3 linked regions of the Lepisosteus oculatus genome follow. The protein of the gene in region 3 binds, or shares a complex with, the protein of the main gene of each other region. Links are inferred from orthologs where the notes say so. Each region holds a gene or a part of one and is shown on either strand. Other genes may lie near its edges.

Region 1 (3,751 bases), on a different chromosome or scaffold from region 3:
GGCCTCTTGGAAGAAGAGGAGGAGGATGTGGTGTGCTCTGGAATAAAACAAGACCATGGGTATTAACATCCATCAAGAAGCCTTTGATTCATATACAACACTGCATGAGCTCAAGAGGCCCTTAAATCGACTATGGCTGTGGAGTCATTTAAACGGGAACTGCAGTCAGAATTTCTCAGACTGGTTATTAAATCTCCGTTACAAAACAAATTTATCAACGTTATAGGAAAAAAAAATACAAATTTTGAATGAAGCACAAAATCGCGAAATTTGTGAAAGTACTGTGGACATGTTATCGCAAACCCCTGGTCTCACCGCAGGCAAGAGCAACACTTCCCACGGACTGTGACATGATGCAGCCCATCCTGCTCACTAGTCACCGTAATGACTAATGTAATGTGATGTATGAGTGGATAAGGACAGGCTGTGCAGCAGACACTTCACCGCAGAAATGTTCCAACGTGATCTGCATACAGAGTTAACAAATAAGTTGTATTTGTTGGCAAAACCATCTGAAAGTCGAGAGATGTATTAAATGAGATGTATTCACAAGCCTGCTTGTTCACAGAGTCACAGGGCTGCAACACCTCACCAGAAATTTTGTTCTGAAACCCTGAATATAACACTGTGCATACCTGGAAATTTCATCCATTTTTAATGTAAATTGGAGGTTTTACAAGTTACTGTGCACATTTTACTTTTATTGTGGTTTGAAATGCCCTCATCGATGCTGAATCCTTTCTAACCCCGAAATATTAAAATAGTGTTGCAGTGCCCCTTTAATTCTGACAAAAAGACAAACGGACACAATTTCCTCCTGCCCATCACACAGGTTTTGAAAAACAGTATGGGTGCCTTGGCTCGGAGGCCTCGGCACAACCTGAACTGCTAGTGCTGTGCCGTTCACCTCTGGCTGGCCTGTCCCTGGTCTTCTCCCTGACCACCACTCGCTCCCTCTCCTCCAGCTCCCTGCGGAAGTCCCGGGCACGCACCTCCTCGGGGGCATCCTGGGTGGGCTGCCTGAGAGAAATATCATGTGTGTGAGCACAGAAGATACTTGGCAAACAGGACAAGACAAGGAGACTTAGATGTGTTGCAAAGTAGGGAACTAATTCAAAATTCTACCTCAAAATGAAATCTACCTATACTGTCGAGCTTATGTACTTCCAGACACCCCCAAAAGACAAATTTCATTCTCAGAAGAAGGTGCTGAGTGAGAACATCACCTGCCAATCTTCTTTACACAGAAAAAAAATAATGACTATTGCAAGATAAATAACTTTAGGTACAAATAAACCTATACATGGTTCAAATCATATACAAGGTACAAATAGAAGCATTCACAATCAAGGAGTGGTTGAACCTACTGCTAAATAAAATCCCCCCCACCCCAACTCTGGATTAGCAGGCCTAACCTGTATTTGATTTTGGTGTGAGAAGGTAAATCCCTGCTGGAGTACTGTTTGGACAGAGCACTGAGGTCTCCTTCTCCTTTGCCTCTCCCTCCTCTCGCGGGCTCAAAGGTAGGCCTGGCAGCTGTAGTCATCGTCACTCACTGGAAAAACGCAAAACGGAGCAAAGGGCAATATTTTCACTGTGCTCAAGAAGCAAACTTTTTAAACGGCAGTGTTACGCGCAAGTGCCAATTGATGGTCCTCTCGTTCTCAGCCGTAAGTAAACCTGGTGAAACTCATTACAGCAGTTTTCTGCAGCCAAGCACGTAGTTCCGACACCTCCACCTCTGTGCAATGGGACACATGTTCATGCGTGTAACATTATCGTTCAGTGCCTCAAAGTTGCTGTAATACGTAAGAAAGTCGTAAATCCAAGATTTATTAGCATGCGATGATAGAAGACTTAGAATACGCCTGTGAAAAAACGCTACATTTCACGTTTGGCTTCTTAAACTGAAATCCCACGGTACTGGATTACAAAAAGAAAGGCGTTCAACGCACATTTGTTGAAGCTAGAAACTTTTACTGTTTTGATAGATTCGGAAACCTGTGTTAGACCGTGTAAATTAAAACAAATTATAGAGCAGAATCCCGAAACAAATAAAAATATTGTACTGTTAATTTTGACATTATTCAACAATATTCCTTTTGAGAACGTACGAAAATTTTCATTGAACGCTGTTCAGCTACAAACCGACATTGTAATAATTTGTACCTAAAACGATCTGAACGGATTTACATGTAACACTTTTAAATGTATAATATAAAATGTTTGGCATTCTATTTTAAAGCCTTAGATATTTAATTATGACAAAAAGAAACCTTATTTATCCTATGAATTGTATCTTACATTACGCTCCACAACAACTAGAACCTCCGATATCCCAGACTGCAACGCGGAACGGGTCAGAGGCTCTACGGAGTGTCATATGGGACAAATAGTCTTTTGGTCGCAAAAAAATCGTTTTTAGATATGAACAATTCTCGTGGAAAACACCAAATAAATGTGTCAAGCCATTTTTAATAAACTTATAACTTTAAATGTATCACATCAGCTGCTTTTAGTCTTATTTCAATTAAAACTATTTTATTTACCATGTCATCTTAAATCATGGTACTAGAGAGTATCTAAGAATTTGCAAGTGCTCCTCCAGAGTTTCCAGAATCTAAGATTGGGTTGTTTTGGAATGCAGTTTAGTTTCATTTAATGGTAACATTCAATTCTGTACCAGCAACAACCATTTAAATAAGAGGGCAAAGGTATTTCAGCAACACTTGTACCATTTAATTACTTTCAGTAGTAATACAACTATTAATAACAATAAAACTATAGTTTGCCATAAAAACAGCTAAGTTCAAATACCCTTTCATACAGAATGAAGAGCTTATAACACTTTCTTCTATGCATTAATTACTTTATCTCCTTTTTATAGTTAAAATGTTGAAACCCATGTGACACAACTGATAGGGAGTTTGGGGGGATTTAGATACTAAACTGTTATAAAAACTGTACTGTTTGTAAAGGCCCCCTTCTTTAAATTGTAGTTGGATAAAACAACAGCATATTTGCTTGGTAAATTGCTTTCATTGAACTGAACTCAAATAGTTTGTTTTTGTTCCTTGGATGTGCACACAGACATTAACATGTCTGCAGTTACAATATTGTTATTGAAAGCATACAATGAATTATTCCTTGAAACTTGCTGGTTTGCAATCAGTCTTGAAGAGGACTGTGTTATGTATACCCTTATGAAATGCAGCATGTTGGTTGCAGTGGTTAGCATTGCTGTCTTGCAGCACTGGGACCCTGGGTTCAATTGTGCACCTGGGGTTCTATCTGTGTGGAGTTTGTATGTTCTCCCTGTGGTCACGTGAGCTGCCTTCGGTTGCTCTGGTTGACTCCCACAATCCACAGATATTCTGGTAGGTTAATTAGCTTCTGGGAAAATTGGCCCTGGTGTGTCTGTGTGTCTGTGTATCTACCTTGTGATGGACTGGAGTTCTGTCCAAAGTGTTTTCTGCTTTGTGCCTATTGCTTGTTGGGATAGGCTCCAACTCCCCTGCAACCCTAAATCAGATAAGTGCTTAGAAAATAGATGGATGGATATCCTTATGAAAATCACTTATGGATGACTTATAGGTATTTATAGAAGCTTCTGGCATTTTATATAAAACTTCAAGGTTATTTTCCTAAGGGTACTACTGTGGTATCCAGACCACACTGCTATCCAAGGGCCAGTGTGATTGACAGTAACTAGCCGTTACTGGCTTAACCTAATCAATTTACTGTAAATACC
Region 2 (3,751 bases), on a different chromosome or scaffold from region 3:
CGATCTTTCTTTGTCTGCCTAAGAGATAGGCACTCTGGCGATGAATGTACATGACTGGCAGGGGCTCGTCATTTTTGAAAGGGTAGAGCCGCCACCTTCTCTTTGGAATTCGAGCCTCGGGGGGCTCGTTGTATTTAATCACCACCCCCCGGAACGTATTGGTATCTTCCACCAAGGCTCCGGACAGTTCGAAATTGGGCTGCTCCTTCTGGACGGGGTTGTCATCGTTATTTTCCTCTTGACCGAAGCCCGCGTCCTCCGAGTCCATGCGATCTTCGTCTCTCTGCCGATTCTCCCTCCTCCTTTCTTCGTGGCGCTCCCTTTCGGCCTGCTGCTGCTGGAAAACCTGGGCGTCTCTGTCCCGGCCCCGCTCCCCCATCCTCCTGTCCCGCTCAGGCACCCTGTCTCTGTGTCGGACCCTTCCCGCATCTCTGCCCCGCATGTCGTCAGACGCCTCTGAGCGATCTCTGTGCCTCCGCTCCTCCTTCCCACGGCGGTCATCTCGCTCCTGACAACAACCACAATCCGGGTGATCTCACGTTAATCTCAGAGCCCAAGAAAAAGGCCTATTCCAAAACAAGGCATATGTTTCTATTCCTGTCCCAGGAGAGGAATAACTTTCATTGGACTTCAGAGCAGTGCTTGAATGTAAAACCCTTCAGACACACCTCACTGGTGCAACACTACAGAATCTGATCTGGGGTTCATTAGAAATTTGCTCCTGTTGTATGTGATATATATATTCAAAAATAGCCATTGTGCCCCATTTAGAAATCTCTGCGTAGATTCTAATGCATATGCAGTGATCCCTCCTCAACACTCATCCACAGTAATATCAGAAAGACACTGGGGTTGTACTCAGATTATGAAAACTCTTTGAGAATATTTCAATGCAGAGTGTTACAGAAAGATGCACTTTGTGTGTGTTCGCCAGAAAATGGCCTTTTTCAATGCAAAGCACGTTTCAAACCTTCGCTTACCAGTGCTGTGACTTTTTGCATCCACTAAAACACTTCTATGAAATATAAAATACTGCACTTATCCCATTGCCACCTACTCTCTCTCTCTGCACCCAGAATCAGAATTAACTGAGAGACCTGGCTAACAATGTGTGCACGCAATCCTACTTCCAGTTAAACCCTTTGACACCTACAGTGCCAGGTCTCTGGCACCATCTTAAACACTTGAATTGTGGTGCTGATGTCGCCCTTTCCACCTCCACACAGGTGCTGAAGCCATTCTCGATGGCTCGTCTGGACACACCCCACACTGAGTCACCACTCAACACCATAGCCTCATAAGAACAAAACGGACTTTGGGAAAACAGAAAGGAGCCATGATGTGAATTACCTGCTTTATTCTTACATCATTACAGGGAGGACTTGTGCTCCTTCTCTTCCTAGGAGACCTGCTGCCCCGTCTCACTGGGGACTTGTCTCTTCCTCTGGGCGGTGACCTATCAACATAGTTCACACATAAATCTACAACAAAAATATTCCTCCTTGCTCAAGTCACTAAAGTAACACTTTATACACTGAAGACGGTAAGAAACCTTAATAGCTAAGTCTTCAACCCCAAAACTTTGCATTACCTTGCCGTAGGACCTGCCTGTCTGCACAATCTACTCAACACATCCCCAGCCACCCACTTAGGATAAAGAAGCACGGCGTTCTGCAATGCCTGAGGTCACATCCCAAACACAACCACAGCAGAGCATCACTCAGAGAGGCTTGATGCAATTTCTAGTGCTGCACTGTACAAGGGGATGGACAGAGGCAGGTTTACACTTTTCTATAAATCTTTTCCTGAAAACGTCTTATCGGTCGGCACTTCAAATTGTTACCGGCTGGAGTAAAATAATGAACCTAGGTAGCAAAATCATCAAAGTAAATCAGGCCAGCCTAAACGTTAACTATATACAGCATCATAGAGTGGAAGTGACACCCCCGCCGATGTGATTTACACTACTCCCACCTAATAACGCCTCTGTACCGCGATGTGTAATGTTCAAACACAGGAAAGGGTTGACCCCTTTTGCAATTCCCCCTATTAAATAATACAAAGTTATTTATATTGACTGAAATTCTGTTTGTCCTGACCTCTTTGTTGATGTTGATTTCACTGGAATGATCTCAGCCGCAAAATTATTTTCTTCCTAACGGATAACTACATTTGGACTATAACAGAGTTAACGTGCGGCGTACCCAGTATTTAACTTAATCGAAAGAGCTAGGCCTTCAATCACAGCAGCTCCTATAACGCTGTATATAATGCACTACCAAAAGACGGCTCCTTTCGTGAGATACGGTATAAAACGCCTAGTATTTGTAAATACATAAAAACCTATTATTTTTTTCCCAGCTTTCGTTTCTTGTACCCTCCCTACCTGCTGGCTCTTCTCCTGTGCGGGGGTGGGCTTGCGCTGCTGCGATCTGACGCCGAACTCGAGCGGCGAGGTCTTTTAGGCCTGACGGGGCTCAGCCTCTCCTGTTTAATTTTCGTCTTTGTTTCCTTCAGTGAAGGAGGGGACTCCAGCTTTCTGTGTCTTCTCTCCTTGTCCATTTCTCAAACGATTTGTCTAATATCGTTTAGGAGAATTTAAAACACTCTCATCGCAGATATTTTTCAGATGTAATTCCTTACACAAACGCAAAGTCCGTCTACCACAGAACTCGTATCGGGCTTATTCCGGTTCCGGGCACATCGTATATGGGATCCGGATGTTTCAAGCCTTTCGAGCTATATCGTTCCGCTTAATTCGATACTATGGGATAAACTTTTCAATATATAAATCAGTTTAAGTGAGACTTATGATGTACTGGCATTCTTTACAATAGAAATTCCATAATATACTCAAAATATATTTTATTAAAATAAATGTGTTTTAAAAAAAAACAAACTGTGTTGCGTAAATAACGTCAAGGACCCAGGCATACGTCTCAGCCTGCCTACGCTTCTGCTTTTCCAGATTTTTTTAAACCCACACATAATATTTATAATGTCACGTATTAACTGTAAATTAATGTATTCGTGTGTTCTTCGACAAGCTAGTTTTGTAAGGTTGCGATCTGGCGCAAATCCCGGAACACCAGGAGGTGAACTAAACATTGTAAATTGAGTGTTAAAACTTAGTTATTTTAATATTTTCTCTTATATACCACATAAAGCCTGAGAATATACGTCTCAACGTCGGTTATTTGTAATGAATGTATCTTTATATTATTTTATGAATATAACAATATATTTAACATTTAGTGCTTATGCTAGAAATATTCAATGTTTACAAGGCACACTTATTCTAAATTTTAAATATTTAGAACATTTTTACAGTACAGAACATATTGCCCGTATGATTAGTTACATTTGAAGGCTGGTTATGGTTAGTTTACCTGTATTTTTATAGTGAATCTGAGCATTTGTAATATTTAACAACTGAAATCATTTTATTTTCATATTTGATTAACCTGGTCTTCAGTTCTCTCATGTTCCGAATGATGTAGCATTTCTGACATTGTTTTAAAAACCTATATCCAGGTACATGTTTTAAAGCTTCCATTTGCCTCTTTTTTTATTACCATTAAGGTTTGTGTCTTCAGCCCCATCTGCTACTTTCAATAGTATATGAATTAGACGTCCACTGCTAAGAGCCAAAGTATTCCTTTTTATATGGTGTTTATGACACAGATGAAAAAAATGGTTTCTTCTCGGCCATTTGTTCAAGATCTCACCAGTTGATTGTGGACTTTACTGT
Region 3 (3,751 bases):
TCTGTTCCTCAGGCTGGGACAGGAGATCACACACTGTATTATTATTATTGAGAGACAGGCTCACTGTTCCTCAGGCTGGGACAGGAGATCACACACTGTATTATTATTATTGAGAGACAGGCTCACTGTCTGTTCCTCAGGCTGGGACAGGAGATCACACACTGTATTATTATTATTGAGAGACGGGCTCACTGTCTGTTCCTCAGGCTGGGACAGGAGATCACACACTGTATTATTATTATTGAGAGACAGGCTCACTGTTCCTCAGGCTGGGACAGGAGATCACACACTGTATTGTTATTATTGAGAGACAGGCTCACTGTCTGTTCCTCAGGCTGGGACAGGAGATCACACACTGTATTATTATTATTGAGAGACAGGCTCACTGTCTGTTCCTCAGGCTGGGACAGGAGATCACACACTGTATTATTATTATTGAGAGACGGGCTCACTGTCTGTTCCTCAGGCTGGGACAGGAGATCACACACTGTATTATTATTATTGAGAGACAGGCTCACTGTTCCTCAGGCTGGGACAGGAGATCACACACTGTATTATTATTATTGAGAGACGGGCTCACTGTCTGTTCCTCAGGCTGGGACAGGAGATCACACACTGTATTATTATTATTGAGAGACAGACTCACTGTCTGTTCCTCAGGCTGGGACAGGAGATCGCACACTGTATTATTATTATTGACAGGCAGGCTCACTGCTCCTCAGGCTGGGACAGGAGATCACACACTGGGCTGGAGTGGAAATTCTCGGATTAAATTTGTCATTTCAGGGACGAAGGTCTAATCCCAGAGTATTTATCACAGGGCGGAAGAAAGCTCATCCGCCTGCAGTATTATATACCCTCAACTTGGGCCCGGCCAGGCGGAACATGCGGTAGTGAAGACGTAAGACGCGTGGTGCCGCCAGGGGGTGCTCTGGCGTTCCTCTCCCCGCCTCGCCTGCGCCCTTTGACCCGAACTTCCGCTTCCGGGTGAAAGCGGCGGCGGCGGTGGTGGGGGGTCAGATGTTGTTATGGCGTGTGTTTGAAAGTTGAGGGTGTGGGTTCGGATCTTGATTCGAGCGGGACCGGTTCCGGGACCATGAGGTGCTAGGAGCGGGCTGCCTGAAATAAAGAGCGAAGAAAACAAACAGCGCGGACGGACAGGAGACCGGTTCGGACGGGAGGGTCGCCGAGAGAGAGACATGTATGTAAACAGTTCAGCTCTCGGTTTTCAAGTCGCTGCACTGTAAATGGTGCGAGGTGTAGTCATTATCTCCCAGTATTGACATAAAACTGTGTGTTTGCGGTCGGGATCTCACACACATACGACGTTTAGCCTCTATCTGATCATGAACCGGTTTTGTTTATCTGTTGTTTTTTCTAAGTAAATAAAGCACAACCTCGTCTGCTGGTTGTTGTTGTCGTCCAAGCGCCGCTCGTCTGCGCCTTCGTAGCCGGAGCGCGGTGCGAAAGGTGTCGTGTCGTGAACGTGATGTCGTGTGGACGAGACGAGATGGATTTAAAGGCACTGAAGAACTAGTCCAGCTCCCAGTCCAGTCAGTCCAGTCCAGCCTGGAGAGTCTCAGACTGCTCTGTCAGTGTCACTGGAGTCTGATTATAATCCCAGTGAAGAACTCATCCAGCTCCCAGTCCAGTCAGTCCAGTCCAGCCTGCTCTGTCAGTGTCACTGGAGTCTGATTATAATCCTAGTGAAGAACTCATCCAGTTCCCAGTCCAGTCAGTCCAGTCCCGCCTGGAGAGTCCCAGACTGCCCTGTCAGTGTCACTGGAGTCTGATTATAATCCCAGTGAAGAACTGATCCAGCTCCCAGTCCAGTCAGTCCAGTCCAGCCTGGAGAATCTCAGACTGCTCTGTCAGTGTCACTGGAGTCTGATTATAATCCCAGTGAAGAACTAATCCAGCTCCCAGTCCAGTCCAGCCTGGAGAGTCTCAGACTGCTCTGTCAGTGTCACTGGAGTCTGATTATAATCCCAGTGAAGAACTCATCCAGCTCCCAGTCCAGTCAGTCCAGTCCAGCCTGGAGAGTCTCAGACTTCTCTGTCAGTGTCAGTGGAGTCTGATTATAATCCCAGTTCAGAACTCATCCAGCTCCCAGTCCAGTCAGACCAGTCCAGCCTGGAGAGTCTCAGACTGCTCTGGCAGTGTCAGTGGAGTCTGATTATAATCCCAGTGAAGAACTCATCCAGCTCCCAGTCCAGTCAGTCCAGTCCAGCCTGGAGAGTCTCAGACTGCTCTGTCAGTGTCACTGGAGTCTGATTATAATCCCAGTGAAGAACTCGTCCAGCTCCCAGTCCAGCCTGGAGAGTCTCAGACTGCTCTGTCAATGTCACTGGAGTCTGATTATAATCCCAGTGAAGAACTGATCCAGCTCCCAGTCCAGTCAGTCCAGTCCAGCCTGGAGAGTCTCAGACTGCTCTGTCAGTGTCACTGGAGTCTTATTATAATCCCAGTGAAGAACGCGTCCAGCTCCCAGTCCAGCCTGGAGAGTCTCAGACTGCTCTGTCAGTGTCACTGGAGTCTTATTATAATCCCAGTGAAGAACGCGTCCAGCTCCCAGTCCAGCCTGGAGAGTCTTAGACTGCTCTGTCAGTGTCAGTGTCAGTGGAGTCTGATTGTAATCCCAGTTCAGAACTCGTCCAGCTCCCAGTCCAGCCTGGAGAGTCTCAGACTGCTCTGTCAGTAGGTTTTAGACGTGTGCTCTGGAAGTGTAGAGGTGTGTGTGTGTGTGTGTGTGTGTGTGTGTGTGTGTGTGCCCTGTCACTGTACAGCCTCAGTCATGATCCGTGTCTCTCCCTCGCCCTCAGAATGGCCGGCCTGGAGCAGTGGGTCAGTGACCAGCTCCACGGCCTCCTGGGCCTGAGCGACCGCTACGTGGCGCAGTTCCTGATCGGCACGGCCAAGAGGAGCGCCAGCGCCCAGGACTTCCTGTCCCGGCTGAGGGAGACGGGCACCATCGACGTCGACCAGCGCGTCGCCTCGTTCGCCGCCGAGCTCTACGCCAAGGTACCGGGCCCCTGCCTGCTCCCTCCCCCTCCGGCGCGGAGGCAGCCAATCGCGGGCCGGTCGCCGCGGCGCCTCGCCGGGGAGCCGGCGCTGATTGGACGAGCTGCCGGACTGGTCCTCTTTCGCCGACGTCACGGTCGGGTGTTGCCCCTGGCAACCAGAGGGCGCCAGTCCGCTCCCCCCACACAGCAGCTCTCAGTGGGGAGGAGAGCAGAGGGATGGAGCCAGTTCAGAGAGGGGGGTGATTAGGAGGACATGATGGGTCAAGACCAGGGGGGTATTTGACCAGGACACTGGGGTAACACCCCTACTCTTCTCGAGAGACACCCCGGGATTGTTAATGAGCACAGAGAGTCAGGACCTCGGTTTGACGTCTCATCTGAAGGACGGTGCCTTTTTACAGTCCAGTGTCCCCGTCACTATACTGGGGCATCAGGACCCACACAGACCGCAGGGTGAGAGCGCCCCCTGCTGGCCCCACTCACACCTCCTCCAGCAGCAGCCTCAGCTCTCCTCCCAGGAGTCTCCCCTCCAGGTACTGGCCAGGCTCACACCTGCTGAGTCTCCAGTGGGGCTGTGAGCTGGGTGAGAGCGCCCCCTGCTGGCCCCACTAACAGCTCTCCCAGGAGTCTCCCCTCCAGGTACTGGCCAGGCTCCCCCTGCTGGGCTCCAGTGGGGCTGTGAGCTGGGTGAGAGCGCCCCCTGCTGGCCCCACTCACACCTCTCCCAG

The links.
Region 1: dhx16 (region 3) and cwc15 share a complex: the UniProt entries of both Homo sapiens proteins name them as parts of the minor spliceosome. The link is inferred for Lepisosteus oculatus from reciprocal best matches to the Homo sapiens genes DHX16 and CWC15.
Region 2: dhx16 (region 3) and snip1 share a complex: the UniProt entries of both Homo sapiens proteins name them as parts of the minor spliceosome. The link is inferred for Lepisosteus oculatus from reciprocal best matches to the Homo sapiens genes DHX16 and SNIP1.

What each region holds. Positions count from the first base shown.
Region 1 is NC_090700.1:12,136,542-12,140,292, forward strand, and holds the start of cwc15 (protein CWC15 homolog), read right to left. Parts: upstream 2,367-3,751; 5' UTR 2,305-2,366; intron 1,556-2,304; 5' UTR 1,547-1,555; coding exon 1,416-1,546; intron 1,021-1,415; coding exon 908-1,020; intron 38-907; coding exon 1-37. UniProt on the Homo sapiens protein: Involved in pre-mRNA splicing as component of the spliceosome. Component of the PRP19-CDC5L complex that forms an integral part of the spliceosome and is required for activating pre-mRNA splicing.
Region 2 is NC_090706.1:12,464,242-12,467,992, forward strand, and holds the start of snip1 (smad nuclear-interacting protein 1), read right to left. Parts: upstream 2,709-3,751; 5' UTR 2,563-2,708; coding exon 2,387-2,562; intron 1,457-2,386; coding exon 1,351-1,456; intron 509-1,350; coding exon 1-508. UniProt on the Homo sapiens protein: Required for pre-mRNA splicing as component of the spliceosome. As a component of the minor spliceosome, involved in the splicing of U12-type introns in pre-mRNAs. Down-regulates NF-kappa-B signaling by competing with RELA for CREBBP/EP300 binding.
Region 3 is NC_090709.1:40,380,033-40,383,783, forward strand, and holds the start of dhx16 (pre-mRNA-splicing factor ATP-dependent RNA helicase DHX16), read left to right. Parts: upstream 1-981; 5' UTR 982-1,201; intron 1,202-2,822; 5' UTR 2,823-2,823; coding exon 2,824-3,021; intron 3,022-3,751. UniProt on the Homo sapiens protein: Required for pre-mRNA splicing as a component of the spliceosome. Contributes to pre-mRNA splicing after spliceosome formation and prior to the first transesterification reaction.